Linked DNA regions of Rattus norvegicus. The protein of the gene in region 1 interacts with the protein of each later gene in a pairwise test. Links are inferred from orthologs where the notes say so. Each region holds a gene or a part of one and is shown in the gene's direction. Other genes may lie near its edges.

What was found.
Region 2: the proteins of Evl (region 1) and Abi3 interact in binary tests that used the Homo sapiens proteins (3 or more experiments, as listed by UniProt). The link is inferred for Rattus norvegicus from reciprocal best matches to the Homo sapiens genes EVL and ABI3.
Region 3: the proteins of Evl (region 1) and Sptan1 interact in binary tests that used the Homo sapiens proteins (3 or more experiments, as listed by UniProt). The link is inferred for Rattus norvegicus from reciprocal best matches to the Homo sapiens genes EVL and SPTAN1.
Region 4: the proteins of Evl (region 1) and Trim9 interact in binary tests that used the Homo sapiens proteins (3 or more experiments, as listed by UniProt). The two-hybrid records come from large-scale screens. The link is inferred for Rattus norvegicus from reciprocal best matches to the Homo sapiens genes EVL and TRIM9.

The regions. Positions count from the first base shown.
Region 1 is NC_086024.1:133,237,190-133,241,355, forward strand, and holds the start of Evl (ena/VASP-like protein), read left to right. Parts: upstream 1-1,357; 5' UTR 1,358-1,845; coding exon 1,846-1,850; intron 1,851-4,166. UniProt on the Homo sapiens protein: Ena/VASP proteins are actin-associated proteins involved in a range of processes dependent on cytoskeleton remodeling and cell polarity such as axon guidance and lamellipodial and filopodial dynamics in migrating cells.
Region 2 is NC_086028.1:81,274,759-81,278,765, reverse strand, and holds the start of Abi3 (ABI gene family member 3), read left to right. Parts: upstream 1-1,204; 5' UTR 1,205-1,488; coding exon 1,489-1,614; intron 1,615-1,841; exon of another isoform or gene 1,842-4,007. UniProt on the Homo sapiens protein: May inhibit tumor metastasis. In vitro, reduces cell motility.
Region 3 is NC_086021.1:33,637,624-33,641,871, forward strand, and holds the start of Sptan1 (spectrin alpha chain, non-erythrocytic 1), read left to right. Parts: upstream 1-1,445; 5' UTR 1,446-1,550; intron 1,551-4,248. UniProt on the Homo sapiens protein: Fodrin, which seems to be involved in secretion, interacts with calmodulin in a calcium-dependent manner and is thus candidate for the calcium-dependent movement of the cytoskeleton at the membrane.
Region 4 is NC_086024.1:94,589,749-94,594,025, reverse strand, and holds the start of Trim9 (E3 ubiquitin-protein ligase TRIM9), read left to right. Parts: upstream 1-1,474; 5' UTR 1,475-1,632; coding exon 1,633-2,454; intron 2,455-4,277. UniProt on the Homo sapiens protein: E3 ubiquitin-protein ligase which ubiquitinates itself in cooperation with an E2 enzyme UBE2D2/UBC4 and serves as a targeting signal for proteasomal degradation.

The DNA.
Region 1 (4,166 bases):
GCAGAGGCCCCACATTTAATGCCAAACATGCTCAAACCTCCCTGAGTTCCCCATCCATTAGGTGGGAATCCTAAAGCTCACCTTACAGGCTGCTGGGGCTCAATTGAAGCCCCAAGGTCAGTAGGAAACAGACTGAAAGGGACTTGCTCACATTTCTCCCTATTCCCACCTGTCCTTCCCCTTTCCCGAACTCAGACTTCTGAAGCCAACCTCTATTTGCAAATCAGAATGAAGGCTTTATTCCTCGGAAGTAGAAGAACTTGTGTTTTCCACCCTTCTGATACAAAACGTTACAAAAGGTTAACATTTTTTGAAACATGTGACCTCAAAAAGATTTCTTTCTGGAGGCCACCAGTCCTTGGCTTTGAGAAGTGATTCCTCATTAGTGTCAGTGATTCTAGTGGGGGCGCGGCGGAAAGACGGTGTCTTTACAACAAACCCAATTGATTATGCCCTCCAAGTCACAGAATGGCAATTTGTTAGATCCCAGGAGCAAACACCTGGCGATTGGTGGCCACAAGCAGGAAGAACACAATGCCTTGCTGGAATCAAGGTATGCAGCAACCAGGACTCTCCTGAGGACACCTGGGATGCCTTCAGTTGACCTGAGGCCCCACTATTTTCACAACTCTTAGCACGTGACAAGGCTCTTCTGTAACCAAGAGACCAATATAGATCCCAGGAAGAAGGGAACCAATACGGTTAGGAAGACTATGACCTCAGGCAATGCTAACAGTACTGCAGATCCAGGAATCCGTTCAAGATTGCATCTTTCAGCCCTTAATGCTCTGTTCTGAATGCACTGGAAAGCTGGTACAAGTAGGGCTCCATGTGCCTCAACACTCTCCCCCCATTCAGCCTTGACTCACAAATCACACCCTTTGCCCTAAGCCTCTCCACCTGCCCTTCCCTCGACAGCTCCTCCACCACCAGGGATTCTGTGGGGTCTCCGCCCACTCTGCCCGCCTAGCTCCAGGTCTACGCCCCAATCCCCAGCCCTAAACCCACGACCCTCCAGGCTTTTCGGTGGAGCTCGGCTTTGTTTCTCCCTACTAACTCCTTCTTCCAGGCCTTTCCTAGACCTAAGATCCCGAAGCTTTCCCGCAAAGGTCGCCCGGAATCTTTCCCTTGCAAACAAAAATCCTGGAATTCACTAAGTTAACCTGTTCCTCCAAACTACAGTTTCTCCCAAATTCTCCTTTGGGACCTTAGGCCACGCCCCCTGTCTTGCCCCCAGACTCCATGGCCCATCCACCCTTTCCACAAAGGTTCGCCCCACCCCTCTGGACCTGGGCCACACCCCTGTCCCGCCCCCTCACGCTCCGCCCTCTTAGAGGCGCGGACCGCCGAGCCCCGCGCCTTTTGTGTGGAGCTTCTCTGCGGCGCGCACCCATTCCCTCCGCGGCCGCGGACCGAGGGCCGTCGGCGCGCGCAGTCCCCTCTGCGGGCGGAGGGTCCCTCCGCCCCGCGTGCACCCCGCACCCCATCCTCCCGCCGCCGCCCCGAGTTTCAAGGCGGACGCGCGCTCTCGCTCCCGCCCTCGAGACCCCGCCGCTCGCCCCCTCCCCCGGCCCGTCGGCTGGCGGGCGGCACGCGCACGCGCCGGCCCGGGCACGCGCGCCCGCCAAGATGGCAGGGGCCGGGGCCCAGCTGTCAGTCGCCGCCGCCGCCGCGGCCGCGCTGCCTCGCAGCTAGCGGCCCGGACGCCCGCCGGAGAAGATGAGCCCCCGCCGCCGCCTGCAGCCCAGCCAGACGCGGAGCCGCCGCGCCCGGGGCCGGCTGCCCCGCTAGCGCCCCGTCGCGCCGCGCCTTCATCCCCGGCCCCGTGCCCGCCCGGCAGCCACGATGAGGTGAGTAGGGGCCTCGAGCGCGGCGAGGCCTGGAGCGCCGGGCGTGGAGGGCGGGGTGTCCGAGCATCGAGGGGGCACCGGAACCCTCAGCCGGCGGCCCAAGCACCAGAAGACAGTCAGGCCCCGGGGTCCGCGGGAGGCCGCGCCCGCCTTGTGCTGTCTGCCGGCTGTGAGCGCCTCAGCGGCGGTCCTGTTCACTTCGGCTTCTGTAGCTCATCTCCATCAGGGCGCTCTCATCATCACCTTTCTTTCTGACCTGTCCCCTTTCTCTTGCAAACCCGCACATTGTGTAACCCCCAAAAGGTACGGCTTTTGATGTGCCCCTCAGCCGGAACCTTGTCAACACCCAGAAACTCCCGTGCTCTCTTCATCGCTGCTGCACCCAGGTTTCCTTTCCAGACTAACCTTAGCCTGCTTTCTGGGGTGGGGTGGGGGGCGGGGCGGGGCGCATGGCAGCGTATGCCGGTTTTTTTTTTTTCTCTTTCTGTGCAATGTTATCTTCTAGATACATCTTTCTTAAAAACACTGTAGTGTCCAATTGTAGATTCGTTTCACCTGTTTTGTGAACTGTATAAATTCAATAATGCATTATGTAATTTTTGTGTCTGCCTTCTTTCATCCAAGGTATTTCTGAAGTTCATCCATCAGGTTTCTATTATCTACTGTCCTGCGTAGTGTAGACAGTCCACACTTTATCCATTCTGCTAATGTTAGTAGACTTTTGGGTTGTTTTGGGCTATTAACCGTTCGGCGAATATGCCAAAAGCATTCATTTCTAATGAATATATATTCTACCTACCCACAAGCAGGTTGTTGTTGGTTTTGTTGGTTTTTTTTTTTAAACATAAAATCATGTACATCTTTTGTTGTAGTGGATAGAACTAAAATTCCCAAAGTCATGTTACCAGTTTATACCAGCAAACATTTAATAACCCTTGTTTAAAATCCCTGACACCCCTTGGTATTGTCTGATGAAATTTTAGCCATTCTGGTGAGTGTGAAGTGACATTCCATCAGGGTTTTAATTTGCAGTTTCTGGTTGACTGAAGAGGCTGATTGTCCATCTGTGTATGTTTGGCATTTTTTAAAAATTAAGTGTCTGTTTAAATATTGTCCAGTTTTAGCGTGAGGGGTTGTCTTCTTCCTAATTGGTAGAGTTACTATTCGTAAGTGAAGAAGATAGCTTGCTAACATTTTGCAGAAATTTTAATATTTTGCTTTTTATATAAAATAATATGGTCCACCTGGAACTGGTTTTTGTGTAATGTGTAAAAGGAACTGTTTTCACATTTACCTATCATGATTTATTCCTCATCGTTTACCAAGCTCACTGTTTCCCTCAGCTGCAATGCCACCTTTGTCATCTTTCAGACTTCCTTTTGGGGTCATATCTGTCTGAAGAACGTCTTTTAGTGTCTGTCTTTCTGCCTATCGCAATGTTGGGTGTATCAGACCAAGGCAAGGGTCTTGCACGCATCCAATGATTGCTATCCGAAGCTTTTGCTTGTCTGCTTTTTGTATCTTTTATGTATATGAGTGCATGTGTGCATATACATTCCGTAGGGGCGGGGGCACACCCAGGCCTGGGGTTAGCATTAGGAGTTATTCTCCAATTTCTTCATTGAGGCAGGGTCTCTCAGTTGAACCCACAGCTGGCCACTAACCATCTGTGGTCCTGTCTCCTTCTAACAGAATTGTAGGGAGGCTGCCACACCCACCTACTTTGATATGGGTTATATGGATAGACCTTCAAGCTTGCATGGGAAGCAGTTTATCCTTGAAACCATCTCCTGTGTCTTTGTTTTTGTTGTTTTTGAGCAGGGTCTCAGGCTGACTTGGAACTTAACCATCTCCTATCTGCTGGGATTCTGAGTGTACACTGCCGGCCTGGTCCCTTTAGTATTTTTTAGTGTAGGTTCTGCTGGAGCAGATTGTTAGACTTTGTTTGAAAATGTTTATCCTTCACCTTCCTCTGGTTTATAAGCAATTTTATTGAGATATAACTCATAGCACAAAGCATCCAGGGAAGCATGCAGTTCATGGTTTTTAGACTGTCCACAGAGCTCTGCAACCATTACCATTAGAACCTTTTCCTCCACTTTAAACACTCCTTTCATTGGTTAGTTTCGGAACTCAGCACTCCCCTGGCTCCAGCTTTTCACGCTGTCTTGTAGTCTGACTTGACTGTTTCTGGTGAGGAGTCACTTGCTATGTTATGTAACGTGCTTCAGATGTCAGGAGAGTGGGGCTTGCTTTGTCTGCTTCTAGGTTTTTGGCTTTTTTTTTTTTTTTTTTTTTTTTTTTGAGATACGAGGT
Region 2 (4,007 bases), on another chromosome or scaffold:
CTCTCCTTTCATGACCACGCCCCTTTTCCCTGGCCCCACAGCTTCCCTCTAGCCTATTGTACCGCTTGCCTGTCTTTCTCCATTACAAAGCCTGTTCCTCCCATGCCAACTAGCTCACAGCTCCCCCCTCCGCTAAGCCCCCCCAAAGGTTCTTCCCCCAACTCCCCCCCCAAAATGGTTCCATTATCGGATTCCACAATTTCACGGTACAAGGGTCTCGATCTTCATTCACTCCATAAAGACACACCCTCAGTTCCAACACTCAACAGTTAGTACCCAGTGGCTGTGTCCGTCCTAATGCTGTGTAACCTTTGCTTCTTGGCCTCCGTGCCCTCCCCGGAGTGTGGAACTCCCCTCTCTTCAATCCCCAATGCTCGCCTACAGTCTGCTTCTTCCCTTTGCCTCTCCCAGGACCACCTGACACCACTATGACATTTAGCAGAGCTGAGCTCCTGCTCTGACAGACATTTGTCCAATAGCGAGGGACATTCTTGAGGAAATGTTAAGGAACCAGTGTGGTTAAGTGAGGTTCCTCTTCTGCCAGGAGGGATGGCAGACGGGGAGGGGGAGGGGCTCTGCAAAGCCATCCCAGATGCAGGATCAAATCCCACTCACATCTGGGAGCTCCCTGAACTCAAGTTTAGGACAGAACCATCGCCCTTCCAACTTTCGGTTAATGCATGAGCCCTGCTCAGCGCTCTGTCCGCCAGTGCTGCCCATACATCCATGTGGAATGGTGTTATCTCACATCAAAGGCCTTCCTGTTGCTGGTCTGAGTGCTCATACTAGTTATTTGGTCCATATCATCTTCTCCTACCTTCATTAGGCACAAAGTACTGGTCACAGGACTTCCTACTCGGCCCTTCACAAGCTTGCCCACAGTTGTTCAGGAATTCTAGCTGTGTCTTCCTGGTGTCTAACCCTGATTCTTCTTGCTGCTGCGAGGGCTGTTTACCATTGTAGTTGTGCTGCCAGCCTGGCCCCGCCCCCAGTATGACTTATCTCCATATCCTATCCACCCTCCTCTTCCCAATCCCGTGGTGACTCATCCCAAGGAAGCCCCCACCCTCTGCTCTTTCCTCCCCTCTTCCATGAGTGGAAAATCCACTCCCGTGGCAGGCCAGCCCCTTCCTCCTGTCTCTACTACCCCATCCCCCCATCAACTAGCTTCCTCTCCAGGACCAGGGAGCAATCACAGATGCCCCGACCTTGGCTTCCTTTGCCTGGTGAGATTGGGAGGCTGAGGCCCCAACAGGCCCCTGGCTTCCCCCTTCTCCTGAGCAGGGGACAGAGAGGCCCAGGCCCAGGGCCCAGGGCCTGACTTCCTCTTGTCCCGGAATGAGCATGCCTACCCCTTTGCAGGCAGGTTTGGGTCTCTCACTCAGAGGAAACCAAAAGCAGAGGGAGGGAAGGCAGAGCGGCCAATCAGGGGCAGGGTGAGGCTCAAAACCCAGCAGGCTCCCCAGGGAACCCCACCGAGGCCGAGCCATGGCGGAGCTGCAGCAGCTGCAGCAGTTGCAGGAGTTCGATATCCCCACGGGCCGGGAGGCTCTGCGGGGCAACCACAGCGCCCTGCTACGGGTGGCCAACTACTGTGAGGATAACTACTTGCAGGTAAGTGGAGAGGGCTCGTGCCAGGATATACCTCGAGGGGACCGCAGCACAGTCCCTCTGGCAGGGTCATCTGACAGGTATCTGTTCCCACCTTGGCTGAGCAATCTTTAGGCATCAGCGCCATCTCAGTGCTTCCAAAGCGCCACAACCCTTGTTCCCGGGACACAGCCTCAGAGGTAGAGGATACGTGAATATCACTGTATCTGTAATCGATTCTCCCACCTTACCACAGATCATCCTTCTCACAGGTGCTGGTACTGTCTTCAAGTTGGTCTATGGCAGTCAAAAACTTCCCACACACGGGAAGGGGGTTTGTTCCTTGACGTTTTGAAAGAGAACAGAGGAGAGTCAGAGCAGATCCTGATGAGAGAACCGGTGTACTGCAGAGGCAGGGGGCTTACAGTCTGGCTGCTGGGAAATGAGGCACTGTAGAGCAGCTTCAGATGGTTTTTGAGATGTGGTATCATTGTATGGCCTAGGCTGGCCTTGAGTTCACTGTAGCCCAGGCTGACCTTGAGTTCTCTGTAGCCCAGGCTGGCCTCAGATCTACCGTCCTCTTGTGTCAGCCTTCCCTTAGTGCTGGGATTACAGGCTTCTACCACCTCTCCTGGCCATTGTTTGGGACAGATGTTTTGTTACAGTTTCTTTCTTTCTTTTTCTTTTTTTTTTTTTTTTTTTGGTTCTTTTTTTTCGGAGCTGGGGACCGAACCCAGGGCCTTGCGCGTCCTAATTAAGCGCTCTACCACTGAGCTAAATCCCCAGCCCCTTGTTACAGTTTCTTAAGGTATTGGGAGGGGAGCCCAGGGCTGTCTGGGAAGAGCTCTTCTGCTGAGCTAAGCCTCACTTCACCCTGGAGTAGTCAGTCTTGTTCACATAACATTGATTCCTGGGGAGAGAAGAGAGGCAGAGAGGACTTCATGACTATCCGCCTACTCCTTTGTCAATCCTCACAGCCACCATGTGAGACAAAGACTATAATTCTTGTTTTATGAATGTGAAAACGGTAGCGTAAAGCGTGTGTGTGTGTGTGTGTGTGTGTGTGTGTGTGTGTGTGTGTGTGTGTGTAGAGGTGGCTTCTCCGGAGTCACCCAGCTCTGCATCACAGAGCCAAGCATGGCTGCCCTGCCTTCTCACCTGAGCCCCTTTCTCTCCATCTGTCCACATGTCTGACACGGTGTATGGCTGGCTTGGGAAAGCTTATCTGCACTCCTTGTCCTCGGTTTCCTCTGCTCCATTAAGAGCGACAGGCTGGACTGGAGAGATGGCTCAGCGGTTAAAAGCACTGACTGTTCTTCCAGAGGACCTGAGTTCAATTCCCAGCAAGCACATGGTGGTTCATAGCCATCTGTAATGGGATCCAATGCTCTCTTCTGGTGTGTCTGAAGACAGCTACGGTGTACTCATATACATATATAAATCTTTAAAAACAATGGCCAACATTAAGAGTGACAGGCCAAGTCTGCAACCTCTTACACCTAGCCAGACGGTGAGATAACACCAGGGGCCTCCTCCTGTTATGAGGGGGCTGGGGAGAAAAAAGAACCAAAGGCCTATGGGAAATGGCAGAGCGAAGAGGCAATGATGGCCAAGTTCTCAACGTACCCTCCCACAGCCTTCCTCAGTCCTTCCAGGTGAGCGCTGTGCACACTTCCCAGTGAGAAAGCTGAGGTTTGGAAAGGGTTAGACTCCGTCTCCAGAGGCCTCCAAGGTAGTCACCGAGACAGGATTCCAACTTGGAATGCTGGCTGGCTGTGGTGGCCCATACTCCTGATGCCAGTTCTTGGGAGACTACGGCAGGAGGATCTTAGAACGTTCTACCTATGTTCTAGTCTACATAGAGAGTCCACGTTAGTCAGGATTGCATAGCAGGACACTCCCTCTAATAGATCAAAAACAGCAAATGGAAATCCCAAATAAAAGAACGACCAGGATTCTGACTCTTGGGCCCAGTTCTTAACCCTTCAAGCCACAGTGCTACCTTGAGTGTCATTCTGGTGTGTGTGAGTGTGTGTGTGTGTGTGTGTGTGAGAGAGAGAGAGAGAGACAGACAGACAGACAGACAGACAGAGAGACCGACATACACACAGAGACAAATAGAGACAGACAGACACAGAGAGACCGACATATACACAGAGACAAATAGAGACAGACAGACAGACACAGAGACAGACAGAGACACCGAGTGACAGTCTGTAGATAGATGATCTGCCATGTGGCTTATATACCTATCCTGCCTGCTAGCACGTAGGCAGGCTCCCCTGGCGGGGAAGGAGACAGCCTTTTGTGTTCCATGATGTCGTCCCATCCCTCACAGTGCTGCTAGTGGGTGCAATCCCATGTGTACAATTGGTGTGCACACGGGACCTGAAGCCACAAAGCTGAGTCACCAGGTC
Region 3 (4,248 bases), on another chromosome or scaffold:
CACCTGCCTTTTTTCTTCCCTGAAGCTGCTGCTGGGCGTGGCCACTCCTTTTTTATCTTTCCACTCCGAGGAAAAAGACTAGGAATCTTCTTTCACTATCATGTCTACAGCCAGTGTAGCCTAGAAGTCACCTTGCAGATCCTAGGCTCAGCAGAAACCAAACTGCAGAAGACCAGGAAGCTTGGACTGGGCCTCATCCCAGTTCTGGAGCAATGCCCAGTTCTTTATAATTATTTAAATAGGAGGGTGGCTTGGTAACCAGGAGGCTGATGCCTGGCAGAGCTGCAGAACTCCCAGTAGGCCTGACTACACAGGAATGAGCTGGGTGCTACTCCAATGGTTGCCACACAGCTGTCACCCGAAATGGAGGAAGGGAAAAGGCGTTTGCAGTGGAGGAGCCTGGTGATAGAGTTTAGAGCCAGGCTCTGAAAACGGGCTGTGCATTGGACAGAAATTACAGAAATTTTGTTTTCTTCTTCTCAGAAGTCTAGCACCTACCTGCTTAACTGCTTGTGTTCAAATCTTAGCTTCTGATTGCTTCCTGCCTGACCTGGGGAGAGAGCTACCTTCTATGTATTAGGATGTTAATTTGTAAAATGGGGAAGGGAATCTCTACCTTGTAAAATTAGTGTAGGGATTAAAAGCTCAAAGAGGCAGCATGCACAGTGTCAGCTAAACAGCAAAGTTCAATTAATAGTGGGGAAAGTAATATCGTTTATCAACTGGGACGAATACACCCTATTTTACTGGCAACAGGAAGAAAGATTGCTGGAGAATTCTCCAAATCCTGAAATAAAAGCCTTATGCCACAAATCAGTCTTTTTTTTTTTTTTCCTAATCAGGATTTTTTTTTCCTACCACCTCCTCAAACACGGAGCCCCAAATCATCTCATTTTTTTTGGCCCCAGCCCCCACCATAATTGGCAGACTTGGGTCTCCCAGAGCCAAGCCTCCTCCTGAGAAAGTGGAGAGTGGGAGCCAACATTCCAGTGAGATCACCCGAAAGGGACAGGGCGTCTTTCCGGCCAGGGCAGCAACATCCCCAGCTTGACTGCAGCGACGGGCCCCGCCCCGCCCTTCGCCGCAGTCTCCGAAGAGCTCCCAGGGCGGAGGGGTGCGGCACAGATTCTCTGCAGGGCGGACTGGGCGGGGCAGAATTGCTCCGGTCCCACGCCGCGGCGGGCGGATGCGGCGGCTCCTTTGCGCCGCGCGCTCCCGATGTCCCCTTCCTCCGCCGCCCTTCGGTCGTTTGCCCCAACCCCCACCACCCCGCCCCGCAGCCTCGGCTCCTTCCGGACGCGCTCGGTCCTTTCCGTACTGCAGTCGAGCATCTAGTCCCGCCTCTCGCGTCGCCAACTCCGGCCCTTCCCTCACGCTCGCGCTCGACCGCCGCGGGGGCGCGCGCGGCCGCTTATAAAAGCCCCGGTGCGCGCGCGTCGCCGTCAATATCCGCTGCGGAGCGAACGGCGTGAGGCAGGGGCCGCGGCGGCGCATCTTTTTCCTCAGCAGCCCTCAGCGCGGCGACCCACGCCCCTCACCCCTAGGAACCGGTAAGAAAGGGCGGTGGGCAGGAAGGGAAAAGCCGCGGGCGGCCGAGCACCGGAGCGATGCAGACAGATGAGCTGCCGAGCCTCGCAGGCGGCTCCGTGGGCCGCCGCCGCCTTTTGTGGCGCGTGGGCTGCGGGGCGCGGCAGAGCCGGACGGCGACCTGGCGTGTCAAGGTCTGCGGAAGGTACGCGAGGGGCCCTTCCCGCGCTCGCGGCCCCACCCGACGCGGCAGGTGGCGGGGGTGGTCCTCCTCAGCACCCACCCACGAGCGCCCCCGCACCGCCCTTCGCCCGCAGCCGCGGTGCCCGCACCTCTTGGAACCTCGCAACTGCAGTGACGAGCTCTCTGACCTTAATTTCATCCTGTGTGGCTGTCCCTGGCCCTCCGGCCGCAGAAAGGCCTCCTTTTTCTTTCCTGGTAATAAATGTCTTTCCTCAACAGTGCTGACCTGCTCCTGTCTAATAGATGCGGCGACGCTTGGTAGGAGGAGATCCAGAGCCAATAGATAACTTAATAGCTTACAGCCCTTTTCTTTCTATGCAAGACATTAAGACGAGAGCTTCTTTTTTTGTTTTTGTCAAATTCTACTGCTGTGCCAGTGTGAAGTGATAGAGCAATCTTTTGTCTGAAGCTATCCCTGCAAATTACATGAATTGCTGCTTCTAAAAGAAGAATTTGATTTTAAAATCCTCTCAGGTACTGGAATTACACACACACACACACACACACACACACACACACACACACCACAATATCAAGAGGGCTTCTATATAAGTAAGGTTCGATGTGTTTTAAATAAATATCCCAGAAACCTAGAGTGAGATCGTTTCGAGCTGCTACACTTTACAGGGTCTTTTTGACTTTGATCTCTCTGTCTCTGTCTGTCTGTCTGTCTGTCTCTCTCTCTCTACAGGCTCTTACTGTGTAACTCCGGCTGGCCTGGAATTTGCTGAATAGCTTAGGCCGATCTCAAACTCAGAATTTTCCTGCCTCAGCCTCCCAGATGATCAGGTTTTTCTAAATAGAGACCCAAAACATTTAAAGTCGTTTGTCCTTCCCCTTGGCATTTTCAAAAAGCTAATTATCATGGCTGTCAAGGAATACAAGAGAGACCAAGCATACGAAGTATTTTGATAATGTGTTAAGAAATTGCGTTGTCATAGCAATTGGACTTAAGTAAAACAGAATGTATCAAAGATGGCAGGGTGGGGGTGTCTTGTAGCCGGGAAACAAGAGCTTAAGAATAGCACGAGCAACAGTGAGTTACAAGAAGCCATTGAGCCAAGATTCCCACTCAGACTTAAATGTCTTAGACTTTAAAGGTCAAATTGAAGTCAAAGTTGGAAAAAAAAAGTGCTGTAGTAGATCTCCTGCAGGAAATTAACAATAAGCCTTTTTTAGTAACTGGGCCATTAATTCCTCAAAGGGACCCTCAAAGTGTGTTGACTGCTACCCAGGGATCCAGATAGAAAGAACAGATTAGAAGGTTTGCCCTATACCAGACAAATGTGAAACAGTTCTCTGGTAAACTCAAGGCCTAGAGACATATTTTAGGTATGCAGTTCCACCTCCCCCCCCCCCCCTTTGGGACAAGGTCTTGATATGTAGCTTATTCTGGATCTGTGCAGTTGGGTGTAGCAGGTCTTGGACTCATACTCCAACCAACAAGTCTGGCGGCCACCACCCCTTGACCTTTACCCCTCTTAAAAGAGAGGAGGCCTTGCTATGTGTCTCAGACTCCTGGGCTCAAGCTTATTCCCCACCCTTAGCTTCCTAAGTAACTGGGCTTGTGGCAGGCAGGAGCTGCTACAGCAAGCTATCCTCTGGTAGTGCAGTTTGGCCTTGGCTGGATGCTTCGTAGTAATCTAATCCTTGGAGAAATCTGATGTCAAGTAACATAATGAACAGGTTTAAGCGGGGAGACCGTATTAAGTATATCTTTTAGTTCCCTAGATTGTAATTTTCTATTATTTTCCTTCTCTGCTTTCACCTCGAAGGTGGGGCCTCTGCAGATACTGAGAAATGGCTTTTAGGAATATAGCTCCCCCAGTCCGGTCTGAGGAATGTGCATTGAGGATAGAGGGTCTGCCTTTGTTATCAGTCCCACTGCCTATTGGAGCACTCCACTCCCTGTATCTGGGTCTGCCGCAGCCCATCAGCCGTGGCCTTACAGGGGGAATGCCTTGATCTGATGGCAAATGCTGACTCCAGGAATGCAGAGGCCCGCATAGCTGGCGGGAGAGCCATCTGGCTGCAACAGCCGTGCAGCGAGTGGCACCTCTCACATCTCTTGCACATGATGCTTACACTTGTTTTGAGTAGGAAATGATAGTATTTTTCTAAAGGTACTGCACCAGCAAACTAGCCCCAAGGTCAATCTTTGCTGTTTGAGTTCCTTACTATACTCAGGCTTTCTTGAAATCATCTTTTTACTTAACTGCTTTTACAGTGCAAATGCCTAAAACCCTCAAGATTCTTATTTCGCCAGAATGTGGGTGGGAAGAGGCATATTATTTTTAAAAGAACATTCAATATTAAAAATCAATCCTTGGGCAAACAGGCCTGATCGAGTGTGACTTGGCCAAGGCAGCACATTTAGGTGACGGTAGTTCTACATACCCACAAGTCTTGGCTCCCTGATTACATCTCAGATTTCTGGTGGGATTCGGACACTGGGGCAGTCTGTGCTGTGGGATCTTT
Region 4 (4,277 bases), about 39 Mb from region 1:
CACAACCAATGATCAACTACTGTAGTCATTGTGCTAAAAAATATATTTGCGAGATAATCCAATTTATTTGTACTATTTCTCCAAAAATCAAAGATTATAGAAAGTACTTCTTTTCCCTGGACAAAAAAAAGTGCTTTTAAATTATAAATGAAGCTATGAATAATCGTTATCTACTGGAAGTTGAAAATTTGGAAGATCCCACGGGACTTGAAAACCATTTTTGTCACTTGTTTTATGAATCACTCAGAAAATTAACTATGTGTGCCCCCAAGATAAATTACTTCCTTGGAATGTCACTGGATTCAAAGATTCTACCCATTGAGTAACAGGCTGATATATTGATTCAAAGATTCTATCGTCGTCCTCATTTAAGGGTTATGCAGGCAAGGGGCAGGATCCATTATCTCTAGCACGATTTGGGGAAAAGAGAAATCGGTTAGAATACAAGGGCTATCATTAGATTCCTTCATTACCTCACAGAAGCAAAAATAACACCCCGCCCCCTATTCTGGAATTTATGGTAGATGCTAAGGGCATGTGACATTGGATAATATCGTTTGGAATCAAACATTGGAATCTGCAATGCCATAGCAATTCGTTCACATAGCTAGTTTCCAAACAATAGCACTCAGAAACACACAAACTCTGCCTGCTTCAACTCAACTAATGTTCCTGGGGCCTCTCTAAAACCCAGCCAGATGCTGAGGGATGAGCTTCGAGAGGCTGGGAGGGTGAGAAGAACCTAGGTACCTTCACTCCAAGGCGTAGGGGCCTCCACACATTTAAAACATGTAGCGATGGTGGTACAGCTTTTGGAGGAATACTGAGCCTTTGCCTCGGAGTAGGGAAAAAGCTACCGGGGAGGGGGGGGAGCGCAAGAAGGGGGCACTGCAGCCATGACACACAACCATCTCCCCCAAACACGATGGATGCGGGCGCTCCAGCTGCTTCTGAGTGCTGGAGAAAAGCCCAAAAGCCCCCAGGAAGGCACGGGGGAGGTGCCAGCTTGATGCCAGCAGCGGAAGGAGAAGGGGTGGGTCGGCGCGCAGACTAGAGCTGGAAGGCAAGCCCCAAGCGCCGGCGACAGGCAACAGCAGCCCACTCACGATTGGGAGGGGTTCTCACGCCCCCTGCTCCCGGGTGACTGCACTCGAGCTCAGAAGGAAGCGTGTGGGGGGTGGGGGTGGAAAGGGATGAATCATCCCGCCCCACTTCTCCTTCTCGGCCCTTGCTCCAGCCCCCTCCCAAAATCCCGCGCCAGCTTCAGCAAGCCAAGCGGCTGCTCCAGCTCCGACTCACTGAGCCCCCTGCGGCCTGCAGAGAAGGGGAGACGGACAGGGCGGGAAGCCAATGAGAACGCAGCTCTCACGGCCGCCGTCCGATGAGCCTCGGCTCCCTGGCGGGGTGGGGCTAGCAGCGGGAAGGGGGCGGGCCCGGGCTGGCGCGCAGCGCGGACGCTCCACCGCTCACAGAGAGAGCGCGTCCTGGGGAGTCGGCGCCTAGGCGACGCGGAAAGGCGCCACCACCGCCGCCGCTGGCCAAGGTGCTGGACACCACAGGCCTATCGACTGCTTCGCCAGGTCAGGCCCCCTTTGCCGCAGCCTCTGCTGCCTCGCTTCCAGCCAGGTCCCCATGGAAGAGATGGAAGAAGAGTTAAAATGCCCCGTGTGTGGCTCCTTCTATCGGGAGCCCATCATCCTGCCCTGCTCTCACAATTTATGCCAGGCTTGCGCCCGCAACATCCTGGTGCAGACCCCGGAGTCCGAGTCCCCCCAGAGCCGCCGGGCCTCGGGCTCTGGGGTTTCTGACTATGACTATCTGGACCTGGACAAGATGAGCCTTTACAGCGAGGCGGACAGCGGCTATGGCTCCTACGGAGGTTTCGCCAGCGCCCCCACTACCCCGTGCCAGAAGTCGCCCAACGGCGTCCGTGTTTTCCCCCCTGCTATGCCGCCACCGCCCACCCACCTGTCACCGGCTTTGGCCCCTGTGCCCCGCAACTCCTGCATTACCTGCCCCCAGTGCCACCGCAGCCTCATTCTGGATGACCGGGGGCTCCGCGGCTTCCCCAAGAACCGCGTCCTGGAAGGGGTCATCGACCGCTACCAACAGAGCAAAGCCGCGGCCCTCAAGTGCCAGCTCTGTGAGAAGGCGCCCAAGGAAGCCACGGTCATGTGCGAACAGTGCGATGTCTTCTACTGCGACCCTTGCCGTCTACGCTGCCACCCACCGAGGGGTCCCCTAGCCAAACACCGTCTGGTGCCCCCGGCCCAGGGTCGCGTAAGCCGACGGCTGAGCCCGCGCAAGGTCTCCACCTGCACAGACCACGAGCTGGAGAACCACAGCATGTACTGTGTGCAATGCAAGATGCCGGTGTGCTACCAGTGCTTGGAGGAGGGCAAACACTCCAGCCACGAAGTCAAGGCTTTGGGGGCTATGTGGAAATTGCACAAGGTGAGTCCTATGCAACCCACCCCTGACTCCCCGCGTCCTGGGTCCTCCTGATTTGCAGCACTGGTTCCCTCTTAGGGTGACAGCGCATCCCAGTGGGGGCGCCGTGCAAGTGCCTTCGGCGTCTGCCTTGCGTTGTGGTGCATTGCAGGAGGCTCTGGGGACATTTGAGGCGACGCAGGGAAGTTGAATGTCTCCAGAGAGCTGTTGCAGGAATGCCTTAGCATGGGTCTCCCTCCCCAGGCATTCTGCCTGTGAGCTGGGTCAGGCCGCCCCCTCTTCAGTCTTCAGCCTATCTATGGTCACCGCCGCCGTAGGGCAAAGCCTATTTGGCTTGGCGGAAGCGCGCGGGTGGCAGAGGCCTCCGGGCATGCGCTGGTATGGGGTAGGCTGAGGGCCTAGGAGACTAGGGCAGGTGGGGGCGGTGGGGGCGGATAGACCTCAGGGGATTGTCTCCGACAGGGAGACAGAAGCCCTGATGCACAGCGGGGGGTGGTCCGTGGACAGAATACTGATGAGTCTGCACTGAGCTAGACCTGGCTCCAGCTGGAAGAGAATCAGGTCCGGGTTCCCAGAACTCCTGTGGTCCTAAGGCATCCTTAGGAGGAGGGGGACCTAAGGCTGGAGCAGAAGGAGTAGAGTTTTCTGAGCGGTAGCGAACTAAAACCGTCCTTTCCCCCAAACCCTTATTCCACCAGGGGTCAAACCTTTTCCCTTTCAGTAGCTGCACGTAAACTTTGAGACACCTGTTAGCAGAATTATCTTTTGGGTTGCTTTTGACATGCTGTCATGGAACTCCTCTACTCTGATGGCTTCTTGTGATTCTCAGACCATCCTTAGAACATTCTAGCAAAGCCTACTTGACATGTTCCTCTAGTCCCCTTCTGCTGATTAGCCCTGACTCTCTGCTTCTGTGTTTCTTGCTGTTCCTCAGTCAACACCTAAGCCTTTACATTTGGGTGTTTCTCTCCTGAAATTCTCTTCCCCAGTGCCTAGACAGAGCGACCCTCTCTTACCTCACTGACTGTGTTCAGATCTGAGTTAAGCCCAGATGGAGGCTGTGATGACCCCCTGCTTCAGACAACCCTTTGCTCCCTGTTTTGTTTTTCTCAGTAGTATGTATCACCATGGTAACGTGCCACATGTCAATTATGCTGGCCTTGTACTTATGTATTGCTCTTTCCCCCTAACACATACAAAACAGGAAGGTAAGCTTTGTGAGGAATGCGCTCTTTTTAATAACATGTCTGTGTTGCTTAGAAGGAAGGAGACCACTTTGCAGAGATGTGCTTTAAGTCCACTTTACTTTTCAAGTATTCCGTTTACTGGGGAGGGGTTGGGAGGTTCTGCCCAGTGTTGTCAAAGGAGAAATTGTCCTTATACCACAGGGTTGTCTGCCCAAGAATAAGGTAATGAAATGGTGTTGCAACCCTCAGCTGTGTCCCTGCTAGTTTGCCAGCATTCCTTGGACTCTAGAGACGCTAACTGAGAGATGCCCTCTCTGCAGTTAAGATTGGGACAGCCATTTTCATTGCCAGCATTTTCAGCAATCACTGGGGGACGTCCTCAGCTCTTTCCCCGTCTCCCAGGTGACAAGGGATTTATGGCATGTGCTACCATGCCCATCTCTCCAATTGTGCTTTTTAAAATAACATTTAATTTTGAAAATTGGAAAAAAATAGTTCTCAGGCATGTTTCTGTACAAAGTATCTAAGAAAATAGTCGCCCTGCCTGGACAAAGACCTTAGTGCTACATGCTAATTGGGATTGGTAGGAACCACAACATGTTCATGAAGAAAAGCCCATACTCTAGCCATAAAGACCAA